4 linked regions of the Lonchura striata genome follow. The protein of the gene in region 3 purifies or fractionates together with the protein of the main gene of each other region. This does not show direct contact. Links are inferred from orthologs where the notes say so. Each region holds a gene or a part of one and is shown on either strand. Other genes may lie near its edges.

Region 1 (7,717 bases), on a different chromosome or scaffold from region 3:
CCACCATTTCAGCTGTCCTACCTTAAGCCTTCTGCATGAGGCTACAGAGAGGAGCTAGGAAAAAGCAAAATTCATGTATTCACTTGGTCTCTAATACGACAATATTTTGGAAAAGAAAAAAAAAACCAAGAAGAAATTGTTGTCATTGCACTGCAAAATTTAAACTTGAACTAGATAGGTTCAAGTTTTTATTCAGCTTTTGAAGTCTCCTCTCACAGCAAACAGGAAAGGCACACATGAGCATAAGGGAAGCTACTGAAGGCTCAGAATATTTCATTGATGAAATGGGTTATAAATAAGAAAAAAGAAGCCAGAAACCTTGAAATTATTAAAGCCAAAGAAGAAAAGGCACATGAAAGATCAGAGATGGAGATGGACATGCCACGTTGCCTGTTCTGAGTATCTAAAAATTGTGGAGTGTGATTGCAATATTACAGAATGAGCTTCAAAGTTATGAGATGGCACTGCACAACAGGTGAGGACTGTCCCCCTGTCCTACCTTTTAGCTGTTTAAGATTCCCATTTTTTAAAATACCTTCCAGCACAACCATTTTATTATTAGTTTGCAAACAGAAAACTAAACTCAGAAAAACGGAGGAAATCACATGGTCAGTATCAGAAGACTGGCAACAACTGACTCCTGATGCAATAGGCCTTCAGGGATTATAAATCTCTCTTACTATATATATGCTCTTAAGACTGTGCTGCTGCAACAGGCTCCAAGAAATGCATCACTGGGCAACAAAAGACCAGGGAGACAGTTCTGGAATGAGCACATTTTTATGCTGCTTAGCTAAAAAGCTCTAAAGAGAAGAAAGGCCCTTTTCTTGTTTAGACCTTCAAAGGAAAAAAATGCAGCAACAGAGCTATTATGGGTTGGACTTTTCTCACTGTGGTGCATGAATATTCTGTATAATGTCCAAGGATTCTGTCCCTGCTTCTGGCAGACTTGTCTTCAGAAATTTTTTTTTTTCCCCACAATATTGAGCATATTTCAAACAAGACAGTTACAGCAGGATGTTTTTGTTTTGTTTTTACTGCAGGAATTTAAGTCTGACACAAAAGTCTTTAGCTAGTAAAAAAATTGATGGCAAAATTAATTGAATTCTGAAGTGATTCACTTATAATCTGATATTGCAAATATGAGCTATGGTTAAGCATAAGAATTGACACAGATAGGATCAGGAGCAGCCACAAGAAAGGTATCTTTTCACTTCATTAGGACTATTTTTTTGTGTAAGGAACAATTTAATATATGTTTGGCAGAATCTTACACAACAGCTGCAGGGGATGAAAAATATAGTGCAGAATTAAGAATACTTCACCTTCCCATGAAAGCATGGCTAGTATCTGCAATTCCTTCTAATAATGAAAAAAATATTATTAACAGGTCCAGGTTGAAGTCTGTTTAGACAGACCTCCTGTTATTGCTGCATGTTTTGTCTCAAAATATGAGAATCTGTTAAGCTCACAGTTAGTACAGTTTCCAAAATACCCAGACTGAATATTAAATCATCCATGCTCTGATTTATATTAATAAAAAGGATGATGAATTGATACCAACTTTTTCCCTCTGGTATCTGGTTTCCTTTGAGGCTGATCAAACTGGCATGTTACAATAAAATAAAGGATCTAAGTTGACTTACCTCCACTTTCAGAAGTGTGCAGCCTTTCAAGAACTCTTGAATATTACTGATGCAATCAGCTTCATTTTTAGGCTCCAGGCAATACTAAAGAAAGAAAATCCACTGATCTCATTGCATTGCCAGTACTGAGAAGGCCTGCATGAATATTGACATGTGCCTTTTATACTGAATTAGGGAAGCTTCTTCAGAGGGCGGGTGGGGGTGGCAGGCAAGCTGTTGAAGCAGGAAGAAAGCCACTGGAGGAAGTGATGCACACATAGAAGCTGTCGGCATCTTGTTTTGAATGCCAACATACCACAGTGCTGTAAGTGACAGTGGGAGATTGATGACCTTTAGCAACACGCTGCCCTGAACCACCCCAAGTAAGAAAAAGATAAGGAGCTAGCAAAACTGAATTCTGCATAATGAAAGACTCCTTTTTTATAGGGTGGAGAAACTTGAGTAGTTGCTTTTTTAAAAGCTTCTCTTCTGTGTTGCCAGTTCCTATCTCTCATTGGACTCCTTCCCTTTTTTTTTCCTTCAGATTCTTATCACACTTCTGGACTGTGAATACACACCTTGTCAAACTATAACAGGCGGCATTCACATGGTTTCAGTACCAAGAGATTTGCTGGTCTTGGGACAGACCAAATAGCACAGATGCAAGCCTTATTTGCTTATTCCTGTTCCAATCTGCTTCTCCAGTGCATTTCCTAAATAACAAAGCATTTTGCCGTAAGAGTTCTGAAAGAGTGAATGTATTTACAGTTGTAATTAATTATACTGATGTATAAACACTGACACACTGCATATCCTTCTATTCGAAATCAAGATATTCTGATCTCTGGTAAACCAAGTATTTCCTGCCACTGACTGAACATGGGTAAGGGAGTCAGCTGCAACCTTGCAGGGTTTTTTTTTTCTGGATGTAGAAACAAAATCCAGGAACCAAAGCTACAATCATACTTGGCTTTCAATTAGGAACTTAAATGTGACATTTCTCTCTGAAGCTCCTTGCCCTCTCACTAGAGTTACTGGGCCTCAGAATGCCCAGGGCAGGGTTTCATTGAGCAGGGCTCTGTCTCAACGTAGTGAAATACATCAGGAAACATTACCTTTTCTGCAGATCCCGGAAGAAGCCGATTAACGAGTTTGCAAAGCACAGTTCCATCTTTCAGAGAAGTTTTCAGGAACCCCTCTGGATCATCCACTATTTTCTTAGGGGAATTTAAGACTCCTAGTGAAATAAGCCACGTTACAATCTGTTCTTCTGGATTCATGGTGGAGAGCTCTGCTGTTTGAGAGCTGTTCCCCTATACAACAGCGTACTGGAACCCACATCCGTGATTACATCTTCCTGCTGCAGCTCAAGTTGAAACTACTTTTTTTTTTTTTTTTTTGGCTTGCTACAGAAACCAAATCTTAGGAACTAAAAGAAGTTATCTAAGGTACAAAACTGTTGTCAAAATAAAATAGTTTCTAGCACTCAGTAGGAGACAGGGAAAGCAGATTGTTAACTACATCTTTGCAAAATTATTATAGATGCAAGTATTTTATATGGATAGTTATTACACCAAAAGTATCTCGCATAGGGACTTCCTCCTTGTGGCAGCTGGCACCCTATCACCTAGTAAATTTGGTCTGAACTTAAGGTTATTGCCCAAAGAAATAAATTTCTTAACACTGTAAATAATGATGTATTTCCAGTGTTAAAACAGAATTCAAAATGGTGATGTTTTGGAGGAATGTAGGACTAAATACAGATCTTCAACTTTGTGTGGCTATTAAAATTGCCTTTTACAGTAATTTTCTATTTTCCATTGTCTGATTTTTGAAAATAAATTCTGATCATATATTTAACACATAAATAATGCCTCTCTTCAACTGCTGTGCAGAAGTCCACATATAATCCAAAATGGTTATTTGGAAGATGATCATCTCTCAAAACAATTATCTGGATAACTTCAAAAAGGTCAGAAATTTAAGTAATCCAAAGCTGAGAATAAAATTCCCAACTATTTCACTTGTCTTATTAAGATGTCCCTTTCTACCACCACTTCAGGATCCTCTGTGAAGGTAGTTTTCCACCCTGCCCAAGGCAGCATTAACCACCACTACATATCACAGCAAGTCAGAAAAGTCCAGTCATCTTTATAACCGTCCTTTCACCAGAACAGATGGAAAATGAAGCAATTCTGTTGATGAAGCTGGAACATCATGGCTTGAAGAATCCAACAGGAACAAAGTATCCTAGAGACCAGAATTTCTTGGTTACAAATGTACTCAGCCAATTCCTACCCTGTTACTTAAAGCAGCTTTCTAGAACCCAGTGTTACCAAACTACTTATGATTTAAAGGGTCGGGAAAAACAGAGCAGCAGTGATAAACTGTACACAGTAAATGTGCATGGTTTTGCCTCCACTTTACAAGTCTTATGACTGGTACTGGGACCTACCTAAGGACAACTTTTAAGAGCTACCAGTAAATAAGAACTGTCCTTTCAGGCTTAGACACAGTTCTGACCTTTTTCAGGACTTTGGGATGAGTTCCAGGTCTCTGTAGTGTGGAAATACTCTTAACACATGTCTGCAGGCACTGTGGAAAAAGTGGGTTACAGCTCAATCACAGCTCACTGCTCTTTGGTGAGACACAAATTTATGTGTGCAAAATATTTCAAAATTATGACCCGTTGGCAATTCAGTTGCTTTGGGCTTTCTTTACCACTTGTCATGAACGCTACTGCTTTACAGAAGGAAATACATACATTATCCATAATTTCATAAATCTTTCTTCAAATCTGTAGGTAGCCAAGACAACTACTAATGCTTATTTATCAGTGGGGACACGCATTCAGATATAGAAGACACCTCATCAGAACACAGCAGTTTCTGATGTAAAGAGAAATACTTCCAACACTGAGAGAATTGCATACTTGTTTCATGGAAGTCAGTGTGTCACAAACCTGAACACTGAAGTACTGCACCTACTTCCTCCTCTAAAGGAAACCTTTGGTATAGATGGGCGGGTTTAGTTTTACGATTATTTCACATGCAGTTGCTACAGCCAAGCAGATGTCTGCGACTACAATTAAATGAAAATACTTCCCACATCTTGAACACTTATCAGCTGCTTGAAAGACCTGCAGATACGAATATTCATTAAGTCCAAAAATTTATGGAGTTTTTGATTAGTCACTTCATACCCAACCTCACATCCTTTAGAATCCTTTCTAAACACATTCCAGCTTGTTTACCCACTTCCACACCAAAATTAATTCTGTGGCAAACCCAAGGTATTAAGGTAGAGCCCCTAAGGAACAGTGTCTGGTCTGGTCTTTGGAAAGGCTTCACCTCTGTGTACTTGCTGACAGCAACAAATCAAGCAAATCATCAATCATCTCTTGCAGAGTCAACTTAGTTAAAAAACCTTATTTACAGCCTGATTTATATCAGTGATGAGTAAATAATACAGTGTTTTAAAAGCGGGTGACTTTACCCAACTACCTGTGACTCTGGCAGCATACACATCACGACAGCACAGTGACAGGAGCAAGGTAAGAGATGAGCAGTCACATATTCAGAAACCATTTTTGAGTGGTTCTTCTTGAAGTCACACATACTTAAGTAATTCATTATTTTTTTCCAGCAGAGGGAAAACATTCAACCACAAAGAACGGCACTGGAGTATTTGTCTGCTGCAGAATCTATTGATACGTTTCAACTGGTAGCTTTCAACAACAAAGTCTGACTCTGTCCATGAGCTAATACTGTAGATCAGAGTACATTCTCATTAATTAGGATTTTAGGCAGGCACGAATCATACAGTAGCTGCCATTTGGCATTACACTTTAGGTAGGATGATCCAGTTCAGCCTGAACAGCAGTGCTCAACACTGTAAGCTAATAGAGTACTGTAAAAGGAGTCAGTACAGAATGTCCCTCCTCCTTGCAGAAGAGATACTGAGAACACTTTGAAACAATAACCTTCCAAGATGTAACACTAGTAATCTTGACTACCATCCAAGTGCCTCTGAGAAGAATATGTTTTTCTTTTAAATTAGAAAATAAAACCCCAAACCCATAATACTTGTTAACAGTAAATTTATTTGCCCTGGGAAATACTGCAGTTCTACCAATCTGTTATACAGATTTACACCTAGAATCTGTAGCCCATAATTGAGGCTCAAAGCAATATCCTCACCCCAAACATAAAGTTTAAATCTCTAGACAAGGTATACATGCTTTTTCTTCTTTAGCTACTCATTATGAACTGAGGGTTGTTTAAATGAGATCGGTTTATGAAGTCAGTATAAATTTTATTATTCATGATTGTTCATGGCTTTTCTACATGAAATACCAGTGCCTGAGGATTCCAGTCACATACACTGGCATATCAATATGTATGTAAGAGAAAAATACATCAAAATCAATACAAAGTTTTGAAGGAAGCACCTACTCCCAAGAGATGTACTGCTGTCCAGTGTACATAGAGGAACACTTCATTATTCTGGCCATTCATCACTAACGCTGTCTGAGTACACCAACACTCCCCTCTTCTCAATCCAGAAGGTTGGGGCAAAACTGTTAATGTAATAAAGCAGAACTTTCTGTGTTTTCTTGGTGAAGTCCTCTGTATTCAAGAGGACTAAGACTCACTTCTGTGTAACCTGCTCTTTTTATCAGCATAAATGGCAAGCACAGACATAAAAGCCAACCGAAGTATTTTGCTGCTAGGATGTGTGTGTAACGAGCAACAAACCAGCTCACTCTGCACTGCTGGAAGGTGCGAACTATGGCAGACAGCGGTTCGCTTCCACCAGAAATTTTATGTATATCCAAGAGATCGGTAGTGCTACTTTCAAAGGCAACTCCTGAATGCTTACACAATCCTCTAGAAAATGGTGGGCAACACTACACTCAAAAGCCAGGCTGCATCAGTTGTGATTTGTTATCCTTTGATTTTCCAATGCACATCCACTGCTGCACTGCCACCTTTTAGTCGCTGCAACTGGAAAAAGGAAATGCAAGTTAGTACCCTCTCAGAAGCCAAGAGATAAAAATGCTAGATTATCTTTGAATTCATTTTATATATACAGTTAATGCATTTGGATTGTATTTGATCTGTTCCAACATTATGAGAGCACATCAATAGCTAACTATAATAATCAAAATGCCCTGAGAACAGCTTGTATTAATGCACACTGCTTGTGTAACACTGTCTCCAGGGCAGGTACTAAGTACCACAATTCCTGGGTGTATTCCCCCTTCAAATTCTACTCACCACAAAATCCCACCAGCTCTTGGTAATCTCAACATGCTACTCAGGAGTTCTGTTATACACTGGTATACATACTGGTATTAATCTGTAAGCAATAATGTGCTATAAATAAAACAGAACTTGCAATCAAGGGAAGGTATACAGCTGGCAATTTCATTTGCACCCTGATTTTCCACAAGGCTATTATTACCCTCCTTGCCATAAATTAAGGTCTATTTACTGCTCCCTTAACATTGGTACCATGCCTGTTAAGGATCTGGAAACATTTAGAAACTGAAGAAAAGGCTGACAAAGTGCACTTTTGTCTCCAATATCCATATTTTATTACAACATGGTTACAACAGATTTACTAAACTGAAAAAAAGCACCTATTTTTTTTTTAAAGGAAGCTTTTTCACTTGTCAAGAATAATTAAGCTTCAGCTTCCCAACAGAGAGAACTGAGGTGCACACACATTTAGTTTAAAATGTTCTGACACAACCTATATGATGATTTGTCAATATCTTTTGAGGTCTCCTAGAATGCTGCATTAAAGACAGCATTTCATCCTCTTCATTAGAGGATTTAAGACCTACATCTGGGTCAAACTATAAATTTCAAAACTGACTCCTGGTGGTTTTTTGCAGGTGAGTGGGGAAATGAAGGGGAAATGCTATTTTTAGACCTATTTCCATAATCCCCTTTAGTGGCACACTAGTGACATCAGTGATTTTTAAAGGAAAAAGGTTAAGTTTTCTTAACATTTAGCAACACTTATTGTGAAGTATCCTTTCAGTAAGACTAATTTAAATATTTCAACAGTCACATTTTAAAATG
Region 2 (7,463 bases), about 800 kb from region 3:
TTAATTATTTTCATTGGGATCAATACTGGATCTGGATACACTCAAGTCATACCATCAAGCTCTTGGCTCAAGGCTGTATGCTCTAACATGAATATTCTGATTTTACATAATTTAAAAATTTTACATAATTTACATATTATGAGTTCTGATAAAGGCAGCAATATGCAGGAAATACAGTCGGTTTTGGTACTAAATTTGAATTTATATATAATTGTCATCCTTATAATCTGTGCTTTTTAAATATTGAACTAGTGAATTTTCACAAACTGTGTGGCCTAAAAACTTTGAGTGTTTGCAGACTAATAGTACTTATCAAAACTACGTAAGTAACACAACCCACCTGACAACTCATAAATCTCATGGACAAATTAAATATATCTGTTACGTCTTAGAATAATGACTACAATTTAGATATTTCTTAATGCTGACAGTCAAGGTTGTGCTACCACGAAGACTTTGATTTTTCTAAACCACTCAGTGCTTGCATGCTTCCTTCTTTGACAGATTCTATGCCAACTTTAAAAAGGCATTAAAAATTAAGCATGAATACTACTGCCAAAACCTTATACAAAAGTATGACAATCTCCTTCTTACGGGAAAGTTAAAAGAATGCTAGAACAGTTTGCAAAGAAAAAACTGGTATACAGCTAAAAAAGGAAGATGCTGAAACAAGGAAATACATGTAAATTATTAGCAGTAATGCAGTAAAAGCATTAAATTAAACAATGATGACAAGGTGATCAAGGCTCTGCTTGTCTATTTTAATGTATTCATCTCTAAACCATTTAGATTTAAATACCATGGAAAACAAATCCTGTTCTGAAAAGTAAATATGACCACTACTGCTCATTTTTTTTCTGAAATCTGAAATGCTTCTCAAACAGTTTTAAAGCTGTGAGTAATATTGTGAAACATACTGAATTCAGAGAGTCAATTTCATTATTCTAATCCATTCAATACTAGTTTGGTCACAGGGTGTGCCAAAGATTAATCTTTCTCCCATTACAAATGGAAACATACCTGACAGCCAAGAGACAGGCTGCTCTGTCCTACTCAACATTAGTACCTGAAGGCAGTTTAAAGGCCAACATGCTACCTTTTTTGAAGCCTCTCTGTTCTTTACAAGCAAGCAAGTAAATCACAGAATCACAGAATATCCTGAGTTGCAAGGGATCCACAAGGATCAAGTCTAACTCCTGGCCCTGCACAGCACAGCCCCAACACTCCCACCATGTGCCTGAGCTTTGTCAAGCTCATGGCTTGGGGCCATGACCATTCCCTGAGAAGCCTATTCCAGTACTCAACCAACTTCTTTGGAAAGAACCTTTTCCTGATATCCAACATAAACCTTCCTGACACAGCTCCATGCTGTTCCCTTGGATCCTGGCAGATCCAGAACAGAGACTGAAACTGCTCCTCAAGAAGAACATGCAGACACCAATGAGCCTTCCCTCAGCCTCCTCTTTTCAGCTGAAAAAGCCAAGTGACCTCAGCTATTTTTTTATATGTCTTTCCCTTCAGAAACTTTGTGTTCCTCCTTCAGATGCTAAGAGCCTTAGATCCCTCTGATATTGTGGTGCCCCCAAAACAGAGCAGAATGGGACAATCCCCTCCCTTGCCCAGCTGGCAATGCTGGACAACAGTGCAGGAAACAGTTGGCCCTCCCATTTGCCAGAGCATATGGCATTGCTTTATCTTTTAATTAGGAAACCTTAGAGGAATGCTTTCCTACTCTCCCACAAAGACAGTTTACCTATCAGCAAGCCACCTAGATTTTTAAATTTAGTTTTATAGGTTAATTTAAGCTCTCCATAAAAACCTCAACCAAAACCAAAGACAACTAAAAACATTCCCATACCACCACACTTCAATTTTTTTTTTCTTCTAACTCAGGAACATTACATTCTGTACCCTATGTTAAGTGTTCAAATATCCTTTCTGAAAGTTATACCTGAAAAACTGATGAAATCTACTAACCTCACTGGAAAAAAAAATTACATATAATAAGCAACTCCTTATTTTCAACCTGTTGGTTACAGAGTTATAAGCTGTTCCTTTCTTTTCCCAAACTGTACTGGAAAATGGCTTTTTGTCCATGATGCTTCAAAATTTCTTTCAGAGCCAGGACTATACACTTTATATCCATTACTACATACCATATCACAAATAAAATCTCAATAACTTTCTTCCCCTACTAAAATTGAATCAGAGTGAATACCAAAATATTCACCCACTACTTGCAATCTATGCAGAATATGCAACATTTTTTCTCTAAAAATTGCTTAAAAGACAATGTTACGTCTAAGTGAGAGATTGTTATCAAAAGTCCTTTGCTCTGGTTCTTGTAATTGAACAAGAGAATAATGACAGTGCAGAAATAACACAATGTCAGTGCATGCAGATATTTCATTAAAACGCTAAAACTAAACCCCATCAGACAACATAAAAATATTACACAAATGTACAAACGACACTACGCTGTCTGCTGTATTTATGAGCAGTTTTGTTATTCACGAACCCAACTACTTCGCACGACATCACTCATTAAGCAAAACTCTTCAAGGAAGACTCCCTCCACGGCAGCAGAGTCGTTCCTGCCTCCCCTCACCGCGGCGCCGGGCCCCGCGCTCCCTTCACGCCGCGGCCGCCCAGGCAGGTGGCACAGCGGGACCGGGCTCAGCCGCAGCGCAGCCCCGGCGCGGCCGGCGGGGAGCGGGCCCGGCGGCGGGGCAGCGAGCCCGAAGCGGGGAGCGGGCGCGGCGGGGCGCGCGCTCACCTTGTCCGAGTCCAGGTCGGGGTCGGCCTGGCAGAGGCGGAAGAGGAAGGACTTAGGGTCCCGGCAGAGCGTCTGTCGAGTGGTCAGAAAGCAGGTGCCCCCCACGTTCAGCCTGACCCACTTGCCGGGCCCCGCGCCGGGCAGCGGCGCCGAGCTACACCGACGGCAGGGCCCGCCCGCGCCGAGGCCGCCGGCCGGGGGCACCGGGAACTCACAGTGGTTCTCCGCCGCCATCCTCGCCGCCGCCGGAAGGGGCCGCCCCGCCGCCCGGCCCCCGGCGCGCCGCCCACCGGAAGCGCCCGCTGGAGCAGCGCCTGCCCCTTCTCGCCCACCGCCCCGGCGGCGCCGGCGTGGGGCCCCGAGCAGCGGTCACGGCTGCCACACGGCCGCGGCCCGGCTTACCCCATGCCCCTCGCCCCACGGCGGAAGGAAGAGGCGGAGGCCGCGCAGAACCCTACATGCCTTTATTACAGACTACCAAGCATAAGTGAAATCCGTCATCCAGTCACTAACTACACATCTACAGCACAGAGATCTGTCGAGAGGAGAATAAACAGTCATTAAATTATGAGATATGATTAAATCATCGACCAATAGAAAATTTATATAATAAAGCCAGAAAAAAGGTGTAAAATATAGTTTACAATAATTATTCACATTCAAGGCTGTACATCAATACATACAACACCATGGCCCCGAACATGAATTCAATCCAAATAATTCATATATTAGAATTTAAATAACACAGACTGAACTAGAGGCCAACAAGAGCCAGCAAATAACCTTAGAAGAATAAAAATACAAAAGTGTGTATCATATAATTGCATTATTTGCTTCTGTTTTCACAAGTCCTGGAAGAGGGGAGATTGTTTCGTGGTTTGCTGAGTGGGGGTCAGGGGTTTTGTTTCTTTGGGGTGGGTTTTTTCTTTTCTTTCTGTACATCACAGTTACAGCTACAAACCACATAGAGAATATTACATGTGTAGCTGACTGCCACCAACCTGAAAACAGCATACAATATCAAAACTGATCGTGGTTCCTCAATCCTAATTTTTCTCTTTTATCAGATATAGTTTTCAGTTCTGCTACCATTTCGAACATTCACCACATCAAGTCTGTTAGTACATGGCCATAGGAAGTTTTGTCAAATGGCAATCATCTACATTCATGGCCCAGCTGACAGAGCGATCTCTCTCTTGACCAGGGACAAGACTTGATGAAATGGCATGAAGCTGAGAGCTTTAGGGTTTGGTGTCAGGAAAAGATCACAGGAGCTTTAGATTAGGCGTCAGGAAAAGGTTTTTCACTCAGAGGGTGGCTGAATACTGGAACAGGCTCCCCAGGAAGCACACTATCAAGCCTGCCTGAGTTCAAGGTGTCTGGCACATGGTGGGATTGCTGGGGAATCCTGTGCAGTGCCAAGAGTTGGACTTGATGACCTTGAATCTTTCTAATTCAATAGATTCTCTTTATGCTAAAATGAGGCTATTGGGTGTTTAAGAACCTCTCCAACTGTTTATTGCATAAGGGTAATTTCTTCTATGAAAGAGGAAACATTCTGAAATTATCAGTCATAAATGAAAACATGCCATTTTGGATTACAGAGCTACTTGTCTGTAAGCTCACTTGATCAACTGATAAACAATCTGCATCATGAGGCTTTGCAGGAGGATTTCCACTTGATTCATAAAATATTTCCATGAAGCATTACAGGCATTCAGCAAAATTTCAGATAAAAATACTGCACCTATTTGTGCAATTTACTAGTAGAAAGAATGATCAGAATCCATCCAGAGGCCACATCCTTAGGCAACTATTACACAAGTTCTCTCCTCAGCAAGGTGTTGAAATCAAATGTTTTTTCCACAGGCCAAATGAAGTAATTGTCTTGACTTTACTAAACCATTCAGAAGAAAATGTACAGGCGGGAAATTCCCATAATTCTTCAAAGTTCCCAGCACAAAAAACAATTGTATCAAACACATTGAATTAAGCATCTTGAACTATGAAAGCTGATTAGAATAATCACATCTTTGTTTCAATCCACAATTCTTTTCAGACTTGTATATAGCAGATACCTCACAATTAAATCACATCAGAAGGAGAAAAGTAGAGCACAGTACTGATAATTTGATCATTTCAGCAACTAAGTGCCTAGCAAATGGAACTGTAATAGGCAATATCAGTCTGCTAACAATGCCTCAACATCACATCTGAAGTAACTCTTTCTTAATACAAAACTTTTACAAAACTGGACTTTAAGGCAAATGGTTACAAACTGATTTCTCAGTTTATTGAAGTAGTCCTTAACTTGTGACTGGGCAGTAGTACTTCATCCTTTTTTGAGCTCCACACCAAAGAAAAAGATGGAATAAATACCTTTCTGAAGTTCAAATACTAAGCAAAGCAAAATTACAACATTATTGACCAGATTCTTCATACATGATTGACAATTGTTGAAATTCAAGAGATGGAATGAATCAACAGATTTGGTTTTCAGAAGGCATGCAGTAAGGAGAAATCTTAAGAAGAGTCTTCAAGTACCTAAAATTTTTTTCTGCTTTGAAAACCTTGGATTAAAAGCAGAAAAATCACCTGGCCTATGTGCAGCTCTGAAGAACCTCCCTTGCACATTTCATTCCATGAACTCCCATGAGCCACAGGAGTGATCTTCAGGACAAAGACCTGATTCTACCCCACATCAAGTATAAAAATTTAAAATGGGTACCAGCCCTTCATGGTATGCAGCACTTCTCAACACACATTTAAGTGGACAAACTGGTAAAACATACTTGAATCCACAATTGCTTTGTGATGCCTCACTCTATACTCTTGTCACTTTTCAAACCCACAGATTCTACACATAGTCCAAGAAATAGAAATATCTCTCCCAGGAAAGTTCTAGCTCTTTCCCAAAAAAGCAGTAACTATGTAAGACTGGATTAGGAATACTGAAGCTCTAAATGGAGTGATGCCTGTAAGAGATGCTTACAGTTTTCCAATAACAGCTTTGTCAATTAAAAAAGAAAAAAGGACTTCTAGAATGCAGACATTAGCATTCCAGATACCTTCTTGACAGCTTACTGCTACCAAGATTTACAAGGCTGGCTGAAAGCTTTTGGTGGGCAGGATGAAAGCCTATGGACAGATTTCCAAGGTGTCAAAAACCATAATTAATTTGCTATGGTAAAATCACTAAAAATCTAAATATTACAGAAAACATGTTTAAGCACACCTAGATCTCTACCTCGTTAACAAGCCAATGGAGGTAATTTTGCCAGACTTTTTAAGTGATGTCAAGTTTTGTCACACTGAACAGCAGTGGCACTGTGACTCTCCATCACTGCCAAACTCTCCTGTATTAAGTTGGGAATATGTCTGTCTAGATCTTAATACCAGAGACTAAATCCAAAAGCAGTAAGGTTGTCTCCAGCGGACACAATACATGGCTGGAATTTGACAGCTGGAGAACAAATGGATAGCATTGCAACAGACTTAAAATACATGTTATCTTGGTTAGAACAGCATGTATAACTCACTACAGACACAGATCAAAGGTACACTATGCTATTCAAATTTGAGTGATGAGTATACTTTGTATGTGATGGAATTTCTCATGATGCAAAGGGAACATTTTTCTGTCTTCCTCAGCCATTTACAGGACCCCTTCTCCCCCTTAACACCAGACACAGTAAGCCAGGGATTTGCTTCTCTCAGTTTTCCATATGTGGTGGGTACAGAAGACTACAGGAATGCAGTTGCTCCAAAAGAAAAGGCAACTGCACTGTCTCTTTTAAAGACTGGAAAAGCTGAACTGCCATCAAGTTCAACCACATAACACAGTTTTTAAGAGATCAATAATAAATCTCCTTCACCCTGTAAAAGAAAATATTCTACATTCACATATTTTCTGAGAAATCTGATAAGCTATTGTTCTTAAAATACTGCTTCTAGAGAACAGTAGCCTATGAGTTTTTTCAACATTGTAGAGAAACCTTTCTTTGGTGGAAGGAAAAGCACATCATAAATGTGCTTTTTGTCAAATATCATAGTATGACAACTCAAAATGCAAAGTAATGGTATATGCAATGAGTGAATAAGTAAGTGCGATGTTTATACTGCTTTTAAAACAAGGAAGGAATGCCTTTGTCCAGACCTAGGTCATTCTCCTCTGCAAGGTTTAGGAACACAAACTTGTAGAAAATACCACTGGGGAAGTTTTTTTTCTAGCACACAGGAAGATGTGTCTTTGTAACATGACAAGAAATGTTTGACCACAAAACCAGCCATAATTGGAAAAGGATAAAGAAGATTGATATGAAAAATATTTTCATTTTATAGATATGCTTTAAGTACCATGTATTTTCCCTTTTGTATCAATATTTGGCTTTGATTTTCTGACCAGATTACTTTATTATCTGTATTTCAACTCCTTACAGTTTTTCCAGAGCTCCTGAATATTTGGCCAAGGACCAGAAATAGAATTGACATCTCATTACACAATGAGACAAAAAAAAAAAAAAAGTCAAGTAATCAATTGTACAAAAATTGCACAATTGTACACCTCCTTCTCTACCCAAGACAATAGGTTGGCCCCACTAAAATGCACAACACATGCACAACCTGGAAAGAAAGCTTCTAGCTCTCATCTGCTGAAATGGTGAAAAACTATCTACTATTTCAATAG
Region 3 (7,113 bases):
AACAAAATAATAAAAAAAAAAAAAACCAGCCTGCGAGAAATGTCCAGGCTGCAGCCAGGGCTGAGCTAAGCCATCCACTGCAGCGATCCCGGGAGCCCACCCCCGAGCAGCCTGGAGGGGCTGATCCATCAGGCCCAGAAAATCCATCTGCTCCCGCTCAGATCCCTTCACATCTGCTGGCACCAGCAGTGCCCGGGCAGGGGCACTTCTCCCCGAGGGGACCTGGCAGCAGCAGCAGTCAAAGCTCGGCAGCAAAGATGCGGACGGGGAAGGTGCTGGCCCTGCAGTGCCATCCCCCAGAGCCCACAATTCGGGTGCTGCAGGCAGCACAGGGGATCACAGGGGTCCCACAGACCGCAGAGATGCTCAGAGGGTCCACAGAAGGGTCCAAAGCTGGCGTGGAGCAGTGCTGGGCTCACCCCACGGCCGAGCCCCCCAACAGCCACAGCGAGAGCAGCGATGGAGCAAAGGTACAAGTGCCAGGGGTGGAGAGTGGCACAGAGCAGCCCCTTGCCCCCTCCCCACGAGCAGGATGAGCAGAAGGGGCTGTGAGGAGCCCCCCAAGGCAGCAGGTCTCCCTGGGGACAGAGCAGAGAGGTGGGGGGCAAAGCAGCAGCTCCCGGCGAGCTCCTGCCCAGCACCGTACCCGCTTCCGAGCCATGCTCCCAGCCTGGAGTCCCGCAGGCTTCTGGAGACAATGCAGCCCGTCCTGCTCATCTGGGACCTCCTCAGCACCCGACCCAGCCCCAGGATTTCCGCAGCCCCACCCGAGCAGACTTTACCCCTGGTGACGGCAGCGCCAGCCCGGCAGCGCCAGCCCCGGGCCCTTCCACCCTCGCCAAACGGCAGCGCCCAGGAAGGACTCACGGTGCCAGCAGCAGCTCCCGCAGAGGTGCCCGTGCCCTGCTCCATCCTGCCAGGCTCCCCGGGCACCTTTCTGTGCTCAGGAGCTGCGGCTCTGCCCGGCTCCGAGGAACCCAGGACGCAACTCTGAGACAGAGCACGCTCTGCCTTCGCTCCTTGGGCAAGGCCAGGAAAAAAAACCAAGAGAACAAAGACAAAAATGCTGCCAGCTTCGGCTGGAAACACAGTTACACCCAAAGAGCAAGGCCTTGTGTGCTGCGGGCTCCCCAGGGCACATGGAGAAGTGTTACTTGTTCAAGGTTGGGCAAGGAGCAGCACGAGGAAGGACCAAGGTGAGGTGGCTGCTCAGAGCCACCGTGTGACCCACCAGGGCATCGCCCTCGCCACGGCCCATCAGTGCTGGCGAGGTTTTGGGGGAAGAAGAGGTTCTTGTGGTATTGAGGCAGGAAAAAGGGTGATCCCAGCGCTTGCACTCTCGCTCTCAGATGCCACGGCAGCCAGAGCGGGCACCGGGCGAGTTCCTGGACACCCTGGATGGGGACACCTCGTTCCAATCACTGCTCTGCAGCAGCCAGCGAGTGCCAGCGCTCCATCCTGCCGCCAGCAGCAAAAACACAAACGAAAAAACAAAAAGGAAGAAATGGAAATTTCCCCCTCCCATTTCACTTGACCTACTGGGAAGCCCCAGCACGTTTCAAAGGCACAGCTGGCTCCGCTATCGCCCGTCCCCAGCAGCCCAGCGCCAGCAGGGAGCTCTGGTGGCTTCCAAGGCACCACAGGAACCCAGCCCTCCTTCCTGGCCAGCCACATCAAAGATGGGGATCCTCCTTCAAGGGGTTTGAAATCCCACTCAGGACAAACATCAACTTTCACACGGCTGGCTCGGAGCGTCAAAACAAGCTCAACTCGCCACCAAACCCCACCAGGCTCATCCAGAGGAGTCCACCAGGCTTTGTTGGAGCCACCTGGAAGGCTGTTTCACCTCCAGCACGGCAACATGCACACCTGGAGTGAGGTCTGGGAACACACGGCCCCCCAAAACTCTGTGGGGTCACGGCACATCCCAGCTCTGCCCCCATGCAGCGCTGGCAGCGGGGCTGAGCAGATGTTTTAAGTTACTAAAACACCAAATCCTGCAGAGCTCCACAAACCACGAGGCAAATTGTGCCCCTGCCAGGCTCCGAGTGTCCAGCAGGACTGGAGCAGCTCGAACCTCGCTGCTTGCTGTTTTGTTTTTTCCGCATTTTTTGGGTTTTTTAGACTAAACTGTCTGACAAATCCAAGTTTCAGTTTTACAAGGAGAAAATGCCACAGCCCGAAACAGCTTTTGTTGGAGAGCAGAGAAACGGCAGCCTTGGACCTGCCCAAGCGTGGTCAGGGAGAGCCACGGCTCCCCTCCGAGCCCTATCGCTCCCCGGCCAGCCCAACTGCCGAACATCTGCACGGCTTTATCTGCAGATTTTCAGGCATCTTCCCACACTCGGGGCTGCACAGGCAGGCGCAGCTCGCCCGAAGCAGCCAAGAAAACCCACGGCAGAGCCGGAAATAAAGCCCGGGTCTCCCCATTCCTTTCCACCACAGATTGCATAACGCGGCAGAGCCCTGCCCAGCCCCGCACACCTTCGCCTTCCCCACCTTGACACGACTGCAGCGTCCTGCGCCCGCAGCCCGACCCCGCACGGAGCTGCGGATCCCGGGCCACGCAAAGCCCGGCCCCGGCATTTCGGGGGAGCATCCACCGCACCGCTGCGGCCAGCCCAGCGCTGCCCGGCCGGGGATGCTCCGGCGGGGATATTTTGGGTGAAACCCCCGCTCTGCCCGCCGCAGGGAGGCTGCAGCGGGCACGGCCCCGCTCGGCCCCGGTGCCCGTGTGCCCCGCTCCATCCCGCACCTGGTGATGCGTCTCCTGCTCCACGTTGAGCCCGTTCACCTCCACGACGCGGTCCCCGGCGCGCAGCCCCGCCGCCTCGGCGGGCGAGCCGGGCTCCACTTTGCGGATGAACTGGCCGCTCTTGCCCTTCTCGCCGTGCAGGTGGAAGCCGTAGCCGCTCTCCCCTTTCAGCATTCGGCACAGCCGCGGCTTCAGCTGGTCCTTGGCCATGGCCGGCGGCGGAGCGGCGGCGGCGGCGGAGCGGGGCGGGCGCGGGGCCGCTTTTATGGGCGGCCCGGGGCGGGCGCCGAGGGGCGGGTCGGGACCGGGGCCGGGGCCGGGGCCGGGGCCGGGGCCGGGGACGGGGACGGGGCCGGGGCCGGGGCTGCGGGCGGCGGTGGGAGCGGGGCAGCAGCGGGGCGAGGGGCCGGGGCCGGGGCGATGCGCAGCTCGGCCATGCTGCGGCTGCCCCGCGGCACCGGGAGCGCGGCGGGCGGGGACGGCGGCGGGACGGGAGGGGACGGGGCGGAGCCGCAGCGAGGGACGGGGCGGCACCGGCACCGGCACCGGCACCGGCACCGGCATCGGCACCGGCACCGGCATCGGCACCGGCATCGGGACCGGCACCGGAATCGGCACCGGCACCGGCATCGGCACCGCCACCGGCATCGGGACCGGCACCGGCATCGGCACCGGCACCGGCATCGGGACCGGCACCGGCATCGGCACCGGCACCGGCACCGGCACCGGCATCGGCACCGGCATCGGCACCGGGACCAGCATCGGTGTCGGGATCGGGACCGGGACAGGCATCGGCACCGGCGCCGCACTGGGTCCGGCATTGGCACCGGCATCGGCACTGGCACCGGGACCGGCTCCAGCACCAGCATCGGCGCCGGGATCGCGACCGGGACCGGCATCGGCTTCGGCACCGGGACCGGGACTGGCATCGTCACCGGCATCGGCACAGGGACCGGCATCGGGACCAGGACCGGCACCGATGCCGCACCGGGACCGGGCTCGGCACCGGCACCGGCACCGGCATCGGCGCCGCACCGGGACCGGCACCGGCATCGGCACCAGCGGCTGGTGGAGCCCCGGGGCCAGAAGCCCCGAGCAGCACGATCCGACGGCTCCCTGTGGCACGGGTGCCAGGGAAGCCGTGGCTGCTCCTGCATCCCCGAAGTGTCCCCAGGCTGGCCGCGGCTCGGAGCAGCCTGGGATGGTGGAAGGTGTCCCTGCCCATGGCAGGGGTGGCACTGGGTGGATGGCACTGGAGCTTTAAGTCCCTTAAGGCCCTTCCCAACCTAAACCGTTCCAAATTCGATGACTCCTGGTGGGGAAAGGCTCCGGCTCCATCTGGGCTGAGCTTGGAGAGGCCACCCAGGTTTCACCTGGGCTGAGTTTGTTTAATGGAACACAGAGATCCCCGTCTTCACCTTTTTGCATTCCTCACCTTCATTTCCTTGAAATCTTTTACAAGAGGACGTGACCCAGAGCAGCTGTCACAGTGCTGGCCCCGAGTGTCACATTCCTGTGACACAGGTTCTCAGGCCTTCTTCTGCAGCTTCTCCTTCCTCATCTGCTTTCCTCCCAGATTTTACAGGGCTGAAGCAAACACAGCAGCCAGCTGGAGGCTGGAAAGAAAAGGCTCCAGAAATTAATCTTGATTTATTTTAATGCGTAGTTTGCTTTAAAAACCCTACTTCCACTGCAGTTATACATAAATTCACCCTTAAAAACCCCGGGACCACAAACATGCTTGGAGACTGCATCCTGAGAAATCACAGCATTATTTATCTCTGCCAGTCCTTCCCACCTCGTTCCCTGCAGGCACTGTGGCTCTGGGAGCTGCAGGGCAGGGGCTACCGGGGGCACCGGTGCTGTCCCCTGGGCTGTCTGTCACCGTGGGGTGGGCACGGGCTCAGGCCCTGCCTCCAGACACGTGTGGCAGCCAGGAGGGTGTGATGGCCCACCAGGAGGATGTTTTAGTTCCCCCAGGAGGATGTGATGTCCCCCATGAGGATCTGATGTCCCATCAGGAGGATCTGATGTCCCCCATGAGGACCTGATGTCCCAAAGATGACCTGATGTCCCCCATGAGGATCTGATGTCCCACCATGAGGATCTGATGTCCCCCAGGAGGAAGTTTTAGTCCCCCATGAAGATCTGATGTCCCCCAGGAGGATCTGAGGTCCCACCAGGAGGATCTGATGTCCCCCAGGAGGATGTTTTAGTCCCCCATGAAGATCTGAGGTCCCACCAGGAGGATGTTTTAGTTCCCCAGTGATGGTTCTTTGGCCCCTGCACTGCCTGTGTCACCCCAGCAGCGCCGACCTCAGCACGAAGTCCTGGGTGACCCAGAGGAAGCAGAGAAACTGAGGCAGGTTTATTTGCTGTACAGCACAGCTGCTCCCCAGAGCCTCTTTGTGGAGTCCTGAAGCTTTTTGTCGGGCTGGAGGAGTGCGAAGAATTGATTTTTCCACTCGCTGGCTAAACCAAAATATGGGAGGGAAAGGGGGAGGAGAAGGAATTGTTTCAAGTTTATTTGAACCAAAAAGTTTTTCTTTGCATTTGGCGCAATAAAAACACAGTGGGAGAAAATCTTTCAGGTGGTCAGAGTAAATATTTGAACCCTTTTGAATATCTTTTTGAAAGCATTGGGAGCATGAAATTTTTTTTTAAAAGATAATAAAACAGAGAGAAAATATTTCAGAAAGGGGGGAAACAGTTGTTTACGTTTTTTTTTAAGCACAAGCATTTTCTCAAGTGTGCCCTGGGCATTCTTTCCCCAAAAAACCCCATTTATTTATTGTGGAGGATGTAGGGGACGCTCTAGTCAGCTGTAGCTCTGACTCAGCACTGGATCTTTGCCTGAGCACCTTGTGATCCTAAAATAAAACATTTATTTTGTGATCGCTGTACTTCAGGAGCTGTGGCTGTGCCTCTGGCACCAGCTCTGGGCTGTCCTGGGATCATCCCAGCGTGCATCCCTGGGCACCAACATGGATCACAGGGAAATCCTGCATTTCTTCCCTGCAGCTGGTGGAGAAGGAGCTGGAAGGAACATTAAAATACATCGTGCAAAGGTAGATCCTCCCGAGGTACAAAATCCCTTTGGTTCTCCCCATCCTGCCTTTTCCCATCCTCCCAGGTCTCACTGAGAACAGGAGAGAGGTTCCTGCGCCTGGAATGGCAGAGCCGTGGGTAAACCCTGCAGATCCTGCTCAGGCAGAAGTTTTCCATGTAAATTTTGGGTGTTTTGACTCAGGCACATCTCTCAGTCCACACTGGGCCTGCCTGGAGGCAGAGGCAGTGCAGGGACCTGTGAGCTCCGTGCCTTGGAAGGGTTTGGAGCTTTTTTTGGTCGACATCTGCTTCCAGTTCTGGGCAGTGACAGAGAATCCCACCTGTGTCCTCCTCCCTTTGCCTCGGGCCTGATGCTGTTGCAACATAATCCAAAATGCAGGTGCTGGGAGGACTTTCCCAGCTGCAGAAATCAGAGTCGGCCTCCAGGCTCCTTGGCAGCTGCCAGTGGGGATTTTGGGGAGCCCACAAAGTCCATCTTCCTGCAGAAACTGGGAAATCCTCAGCTGAGCCCCCAAGCCTGCGCAGTCAGCTTTGCTCCTGAGGCAGTGGGAGGGTGAGGAGCCCTCTGAGGAGGAGGATGGTCGATGATGATGGAGTCACTGGGCTGTGCCAGAGCTTCCAGAGGGATGGGAAGTTTTCCACGTGCCTTTGGGTTCCTCACAGCTGAGGTGCCAGGAGCCCTGTGTGTCCCTCGTGCCTCCACGAGTGGCTCTGGGCAGCTCTGGTGGCTTTTCCATGTCCCACTCAGCCCATCCCTGTCCCGGCATGTCGCTTGAGCTCATCCTGCTTGGGGCTGGGAGCTGCTCCCAGCTCTCCTGGCTCCTTCCCAGCTGTGGGAGCTGCTCTTCCTCCCGCTCAGCCTCCTCCTCCTCCTCAGTGCTGGTGTTTATCCACAGCCAGCTTTCCTCCCCGCAGTTTGGGCAGCCCAGCACCTTCTGCTGGCTGTGCAGGGAGCTGTGGCCGAGCCAGGGCTGCTCCCGGTGCTGGGGATCCCTGCTGGGAGAGCCCCTGGCACCGCAGCGACCGGCTCTAACTGGGAATAAATGAAGTCCTGGGATTTCCCAGCGGCTCGGATGCTCCGTGCTCATTCCTGCCTTGTTTCAGCATGGCTCAGCGTGGGGCTGCCGGGCCTGGCTGCTCCCAGGGGATGATTTCAAAGGGGATGATTTATCTGTGCTGCCGGAGGAACCAGGAATGAGAGGAGAGCTCATAAAAAACACCAACTCATTTTCCCCGAGCCTCTGCGTGTGGCACTATTGAGCTGTAAACATTCCCCAGGTTAGATTGAT
Region 4 (6,951 bases), on a different chromosome or scaffold from region 3:
AGTTTGGGAATGAACCAGTCCCAGTTTGGAAATTAAACTGGTCCCACTTTGGGAATGAACTGGTCCCAGTTTGGGAACTGAACCGGTCCCAGTTTGGGAATGAACTGGTCCCAGTTTGGGAATGAACCAGTCCCAGATTGGAAATTAAACTGGTCCCAGTTTCGGATTGAGCCAGTCCCAGTTTGGGAATGAACTGGTCCCAGTTTGAGATTGAGCCAGTCCCAGTTTGGGAATGAACCAGTCCCAGTTTGGGAATGAACTGGTCCCAGTTTGGGAACTGAACTGGTCCCAGTTTGAGATTGAGCCAGTCCCAGTTTGGGAATGAGCCAGTCCCAGTTTGGGAATGAACCGGTCCCAGTTTGGGAACTGAACCGGTCCCAGTTTGGGAATGAACCAATCCCAGTTTGGGATTAAACTGGTCCCAGTTCCGGATCCCGCTCCCGGAATTTTCCCCGGATCGGGATTTTGGGTTCCCGGGATCGAATTTCAGGCCCCGCCCGGGGGCGGCTCCCGGAGGTTCCTCGGAGGAATTTTCCCCTTCCCGGATTTCTTCGCGAGCCTCCAACTTTTAACCAAAAAAAAAAAAAAAAAAAAAAAGGAAATTTTGGGGATTTTTTTTTTTCCCGCCGGGAAGCGCCGCTGGAAATGGGAATTTCCCCCCTGGAGCGCCGCGTGCTGATCCCAGGTGAGAATTCCCGGAATTTCATCCCAAAATCCCCCTCGGAGCCTTAAAAATGGGGGAGGGGGAATTCCCCGGGAGGGATAAAAAAGGGAAAAAAAGTGAGATTTTTGGGTTTTTATGGAGTTTTCCCGGTTTTTTTTGGTGTTTTTTTGGGAGGAGAATTCCAGCCAAATTCCAGGGGTTTTGCCCCAAATCTGTGCGGGCCTGCGAAGGAGTAGGGGAGGCCCTTTCCGGGTTTTTTTTCCAGGAAAAAATGGGAATTTTAATGGATTTTTAAGGGATTTTGGGAGGGAAGGAGGTCCCGAGGGAGGACGGGGAGGGGAATTCCCAAAGGGGAGGGAAAATCCCGGAAAAGAGGGAAATTTCCTCAAGGAAAAACCCCAAATCCAGGGGGAAAACCCCAAAATGCAGGGAAAAAAACCTCCCCAAATTCAGGGGAAAACCCCAAATTGAGGGGAAAAAAACTTTAAATCCAGGGAAAAAACTGAATCCAAGGGAAAAAACCCCAAATGCAGGGAAACATCCCCGAAATCCCGGAAAAAAAAAACCCCACTTAATTTCAAGGAAGAAAACAAAAAAATACCAGGGGAAAAAATCCAAAATCCCATTAAAAAATCCCCCAAATCCAAGGAAAACACCTCAAAATACAAAGAAATAACCCCAAATTCAAGGAAGAAAACAAAATCCAAGGAAAAAAAACCCAAATCCAGGAAAAAAATCACAAATCCAAGGAAAAAGCCCCTCAAATCCAAAGAAAAAACTCCAAAATCCAAGGAAAAAACCCAAAATCCCGGGAAAAACCCCAAATTCTTCCCAAATTCCCGCCCCCATCCCGGAATTTTTTGCAGAACCGCTGGAAAAGGCTCAAAAAAAAACCCCAAAAAAACTTGGAAAAATGCAAAAAGTAGCAGAAAATTCCTTTTTTTCCCCCCTTTCCCAGAATTTTGGGAACAAAGGAATTCCTGCAGCTCCCGGTGGATTTTTGTGGAAAGAATTCCAGGCGGGAATTTTGGGAATTTGGGGTGGTTTTAATCCCTTTTTTTTGGTTTTTTTTTTTTTTTTGGTTTTTTTTTTTTTTTTTTTTCCCCTCTTGGAATTGTTTGGATTCCCGCGGGAATTCCAAGGTCGGGCTGGGAATGTTGGGAAAAGCTGCGGGGGGGGGGGGGGAAATTTGGGATTTCCCCGTTTTTTTTCCCCAGGATTTTTGGGCTTCTCCAAGGGTTTTTTGTGGTTACATGGGGGGGAAATTTGGGAATGAATTTTCAGTGATTTGAAGACGGGGGGAAAAGAGGGAAAGGGGATTTTTATGGGATTTTTATGGGAATTTTCTGGGATCTTATGGGATTTTATGGGATTTTGTTGGATTTTTTGGAGTTTAAGGAATTTTATGGAATTTGAGAGATTTTTGTGGGATTGGGATGGGATTAAAAACCCCTTTTCCTCCCAAAAAAATCTGGGAATTCCAGGATTTTGGCACTCCCAGTACATTCCAAAAGCAATTCAAGGAAATTTGGGATCAAAGGTGAAAGGAGGGACATCAAGAATGGGAAAATTGAGATTAAATTGGGATTTAAACGGGATTTTAAAGGAATTCCCATCTTGAAAACTCCCCCAAAATCTGGGAATTCCTCCCAGATTTCCTTCTGAGCCCCATCCCATCAACTCCAAAATTCTGGGATCAACAATTCCCAGCTGGAATCAGATCCAAACATCCCAAAAAACCTGGGAAAAACCACCCGGAGCAGCCTCATTTCCTAATTTCCCCCCTCCTTTTTTCCCCTTAAAATTTCCTAAAAATCCAATTTTTTTCCTGATTTTTGCGGGGATTATCCCAGATTTTCCCCTCATAGCCTTGGGAATGTTGGGATGCAAAGTCCATCCCAAGGAACAATGGGAATTCCTCGGGAATTCCTCAACTCCAGGGATTTGTTTGCCCAAGGAGGAGAAACCGCCCCGGAAACTCTGGAATAAAAAAATCCAGGAAGGAAAAAACCTCGGGATGGGAGGATCCTGAAAATTCCCGAGTTTGGGATTCAGGGGAGCACAGGTGAGCCAGAATTTGGGATTTTTTTCAGAATTTTGGAGGGCTTTCTCCCCAGATTTGTTTTTTTTGTCCTAATTTTTAGAGTTTCTCCCTAGTTTTGGGAGTTTCCCCCAGTTTTGGGTTGGTTTTTATTTTTTTAAATTTTGTGGTGTTTTCCCAAATTTTTCCCCATTTTCCTCCCTTTTTTCTCATTTCCCCCCCCCATTTTACCCAAAATCTTCACTTCCCCTATTTTCCCCCAAAATCCCCATTTTTCCCCCATTTCCCCCACTTTTTTTCCCCCCCATTTTCCCCATTCCCCCATTTTTCCCCATTTCCCCCCATTTTTCCCCATTTCCCCCATTCTTTCCCATTTCCCCCATGTTTTTCCACCCCCCCCATTTTTCCCCCAAATCCCCATTTTCCCCATTTTTTCCCCAAATCCCCATTTTCCCCCATTCCCCCCATTTTCCCCATTTCCCCCCATTTTTGCCCCAAATCTCCATTTTTCCCCATTTCCCCCCATTTTTTCCCCATTTCCCCCACCCCCATATATATTTTTTCCCAAATTCCCAATTTTTCCCCATTTCCCCCCATTCTTTCCCATTTCCCCCATGTTTTCCCATTCCCCCCCATTTTTTTCCCCCAATCCCCATTTTCCCTCATTCCCCCCATTTTCCCCATTTCCCCCCATTTTCCCCATTTCCCCCCATTTTTCCCATTTCCCCGCATTTTCCCCATTTCCCCACATTTTTCCCCCAAATCCCCATTTTTCCCCATTTCCCCACATTTTTCCCCCATTTCCCCCACTCCCCATCTATTTTTTTCCCCAAAATCCCAATTTTTCCCCATTTCTCCCCATTCTTCCCCATTTCCCCACATTTTTCCCCCATTCCCCCCACCCCCCATATATATTTTCTCCCAAAATCCCAATTTTTCCCCATTTCTCCCCATTCTTCCCCATTTCCCCACATTTTTCCCCCATTCCCCCCACCCCCCATATATATTTTCTCCCAAAATCCCAATTTTTCCCCATTTCCCCCCATTCTTCCCCATTTCCCCACATTTTTCCCCCCATTCCCCCCACCCCCATATATATTTTTTCCCAAAATCCCAATTTTTCCCCATTTCCCCCCATTCTTCCCCATTCCCCCCCATTTTTCCCCCATTCCCCACCCCCCCATCTATATTTTTCCCCAAAATCCCAATTTTTCCCCCCAAACCTCCCGGCAGGCCCCCCGCCATGAAGCACTGCTTCTACAACGAGACCGTCGGCTTCTTCTACAACAACAGCCGCAAGGAGCTGAGCGCGACATGGCGGCCCAAGGACGTGCTGGTGGTGGCCCTGGGGCTGGCGGTCAGCGCCGTGGTGCTGCTGACCAACCTGCTGGTCATCGCCGCCGTGGCCACCAACCGCCGCTTCCACTACCCCATCTACTACCTGCTGGCCAACCTGGCGGCCGCCGACCTCTTCGCCGGCGTGGCCTACATGTTCTTGATGTTCCACACCGGGCCTAGGACCGCCCAGTTGTCGCTCAAGACTTGGTTCATCCGTCAGAGCTTGCTGGACACCAGCTTGACCGCTTCGGTGGTCAACCTGTTGGCCATCGCGGTGGAGCGGCACCGGACGGTGCTGACCATGCAGCTGCACAGCGAGATGTCCGCCCAGCGCGTGGTGGGCTTGATCTTCTCCATCTGGGCGGCGGCGTTGCTCCTGGGCTTGATCCCGTCCTACGGCTGGCACTGCCTGTGCTCCTTGGAGAGCTGCTCCAGGATGGCGCCGCTCTACAGCCGCAGCTACCTGACCTTCTGGGCCGTCTCCAACCTGGTGGTCTTCCTGGTCATGGTGGTGGTCTACGGGCACATCTTCGTCTACGTCAGGAGGAGGATGGCGCGCATGGCGCGGCACACCGGCGCGCACCCGCGGCACCGCGACACCGTGCTGGCGCTGGTCAAGACCGTCACCATCATCCTGGGTGGGTGGCTCGGTAGGGGTTAATTGGGTTGGTCATCGTCATCCTTGGTGGGTTGGTCATCGCCATCCTCAGTAGATGGTTAATTAGTGGTAATTAGGAGAATTGGGTTGGTCATCGTCATTCTTGGTGGGTTGGTCATCATCCCCAGTGGGTGGTTAATTAGCAGTAATTAGGGGTTAGTTGCATTGGTCATCATGTCATCCTTGGTGGGTTGGTCATTGTCATGCTCAGTGGGTGGTTAATTAGCCATTAATTAGGGGGTAACAGAGGTGCGCACCCGCGGCACCGCGACACCGTGCTGGCGCTGGTCAAGACCATCACCATCATCCTGGGTGGGTGGCTCGGTAGGGGTTAATTGGGCTGGTCATCATCATCCTCAGTAGATGGTTAATTAGGATTAATTAGGAGAATTGGGTTGGTCATCGTCATCCTTGGTAGGTTGGTCATCATCATCCTCAGTGGATGGTTAATTAGCGGTAATTAGGGGTTAATTGTGTTGGTCATCGTCATATTTGGTTGGGTTGGTCATCATCATCCTTGATGGGTTGGTCATCATCATCATCCTCAGTAGATGGTTAATTAGTGGTAATTAGGAGAATTGGGTTGGTCATCGTCATTCTTGGTGGGCTGGTCATCATCATCCCCAGTGGGTGGTTAATTAGCGGTTAATTAGATAACAGAGGTGTGCACCACGTGACAGACACCGTGCTGAATTTTATCCCGGAATTCTTTGGGCCATAAAGAACCGAAATCCCATTCAGGAAGTGACCGAAAAACACCAAAAATTCCCATTATTTCCCCCTTTTTCCTGTTTTTCCAGGTGCCTTTGTGCTCTCCTGGATCTTTTTTCCATCTTTTTTCCATCATCTCATTCTTCTCCCAATATTCCCAGGGGGATTCCATGGAATTCTTCCTGGAATTCTTCAGGCCATAAAGAACTGAAATCCCAGCCAGGAAATCACCAAAAATTCCCATTTTTTCCCCTTTTTTTCCCGTTTTTCCAGGTGCCTTTGAGCTCTCCTGGATCATTTTCCCTCAAAGATTGAAATCCATGGGGATTCCATGGAACAATTTCATCCCGGAATTCTTCGGGCCATAAAGAACCAAAATCCCAGCCAGGAAGTGACTGAAAATTCCCATTTTTTCCCCTCTTTTCCCACTTTTCCAGGTGCCTTTTGTATCTCCTGGATATTTTTCCCATCTTTTTTCCCTCATCTCATTCTTCTCCCATGATTTCCTACAGGGATTCCATGGAACTATTTTATCCCGGAATACTTTGTGTTGAAAATAACTGAAATCCCATTCAGGAAGTGACCGAAAACCACCAAAAATTCCCATTATTTCCCCCTTTTTCCCGTTTTTCCAGGTGCCTTTGTGTCTCCTGGATCTTTTTTCCATCTTTGTTCCCTCATCTCATTCTTCTCCCAATATTCCCAGGGGGATTCCATGGAATTCTTCCTGGAATTCTTCAGGCCATAAAGAACTGAAATCCCAGCCAGGAAATCACCAAAAATTCCCATTTTTTCCCCTTTTTTCCCCGTTTTTCCAGGTGCCTTTGTGCTCTCCTGGATCTTTTTCTCTCAAAGGTCGAAACCCATTGGGATTCCATGGAACAATTTTATCCCAGATTTCTTTGGGCCATAAAGAACCGAAATCCCAGCCAGGAAATCACCAAAAATTCCCATTTTTTCCCCTTTTTTCCCCGTTTTTCCAGGTGCCTTTGTGCTCTCCTGGATCTTTTTCTCTCAAAGATTGAAATCCATGGGGATTCCATGGAACAATTTCATCCCGGAATTCTTTGGGCCATAAAGAACCGAAATCCCAGCCAGGAAGTGACCGAAAAACACCAAAATTTCCCTTTTTTCCCTTTCCCCCCCCGTTTTTCCAGGCGCCTTTTGTGTCTCCTGGATCTTTTTTCCATCTTTGTTCCCTCATCTCATTCTTCTCCCAATATTCCCAGGGGGATTCCATGGAATGATTTTATCCTGGAATTCTTCAGGCCATAAAGAACTGAAATCCCAGCCAGGAAATCACCAAAAATTCCCATTTTTTCCCATTTTTTCCCCCATTTTTCCAGGTGCCTTTGTGCTCTCCTGGATCTTTTTCTCTCAAAGGTCGAAATCCATGGGGATTCCATGGAACAATTTTATCCCAGATTTCTTTGGGCCATAAAGAATTGAAATCCCAGCCAGCAAATCACCAAAAATTCCCATTTTTCCCATTTTTTCCCCCCGTTTTTCCAGGTGCCTTCGTGGTGTGCTGGACTCCCG

Evidence for each region.
Region 1: the proteins of NHERF2 (region 3) and ARHGEF6 purify together in Homo sapiens (affinity purification with mass spectrometry; 3 studies listed by BioGRID and IntAct, with this or other methods). This does not show direct contact. The link is inferred for Lonchura striata from reciprocal best matches to the Homo sapiens genes NHERF2 and ARHGEF6.
Region 2: the proteins of NHERF2 (region 3) and KCTD5 purify together in Homo sapiens (affinity purification with mass spectrometry; 3 studies listed by BioGRID and IntAct, with this or other methods). This does not show direct contact. The link is inferred for Lonchura striata from reciprocal best matches to the Homo sapiens genes NHERF2 and KCTD5.
Region 4: the proteins of NHERF2 (region 3) and LPAR2 purify together in Homo sapiens (affinity purification with western blotting; 3 studies listed by BioGRID and IntAct, with this or other methods). This does not show direct contact. The link is inferred for Lonchura striata from reciprocal best matches to the Homo sapiens genes NHERF2 and LPAR2.

What each region holds. Positions count from the first base shown.
Region 1 is NC_134616.1:184,286-192,002, forward strand, and holds the start of ARHGEF6 (rho guanine nucleotide exchange factor 6), read right to left. Parts: upstream 3,004-7,717; 5' UTR 2,906-3,003; coding exon 2,741-2,905; intron 1,731-2,740; coding exon 1,647-1,730; intron 1-1,646. UniProt on the Homo sapiens protein: Acts as a RAC1 guanine nucleotide exchange factor (GEF).
Region 2 is NC_134618.1:17,567,654-17,575,116, reverse strand, and holds the start of KCTD5 (BTB/POZ domain-containing protein KCTD5), read right to left. Parts: upstream 3,011-7,463; coding exon 2,777-3,010; intron 1-2,776. UniProt on the Homo sapiens protein: Its interaction with CUL3 suggests that it may act as a substrate adapter in some E3 ligase complex. Does not affect the function of Kv channel Kv2.1/KCNB1, Kv1.2/KCNA2, Kv4.2/KCND2 and Kv3.4/KCNC4.
Region 3 is NC_134618.1:16,765,792-16,772,904, reverse strand, and holds the start of NHERF2 (Na(+)/H(+) exchange regulatory cofactor NHE-RF2), read right to left. Parts: upstream 3,006-7,113; 5' UTR 2,966-3,005; coding exon 2,756-2,965; intron 791-2,755; exon of another isoform or gene 662-790; coding exon of another isoform or gene 647-661; intron 1-646.
Region 4 is NC_134623.1:1,985,927-1,992,877, forward strand, and holds the start of LPAR2 (lysophosphatidic acid receptor 2), read left to right. Parts: upstream 1-3,939; 5' UTR 3,940-3,948; coding exon 3,949-4,681; intron 4,682-6,924; coding exon 6,925-6,951. UniProt on the Homo sapiens protein: Receptor for lysophosphatidic acid (LPA), a mediator of diverse cellular activities. Seems to be coupled to the G(i)/G(o), G(12)/G(13), and G(q) families of heteromeric G proteins. Plays a key role in phospholipase C-beta (PLC-beta) signaling pathway.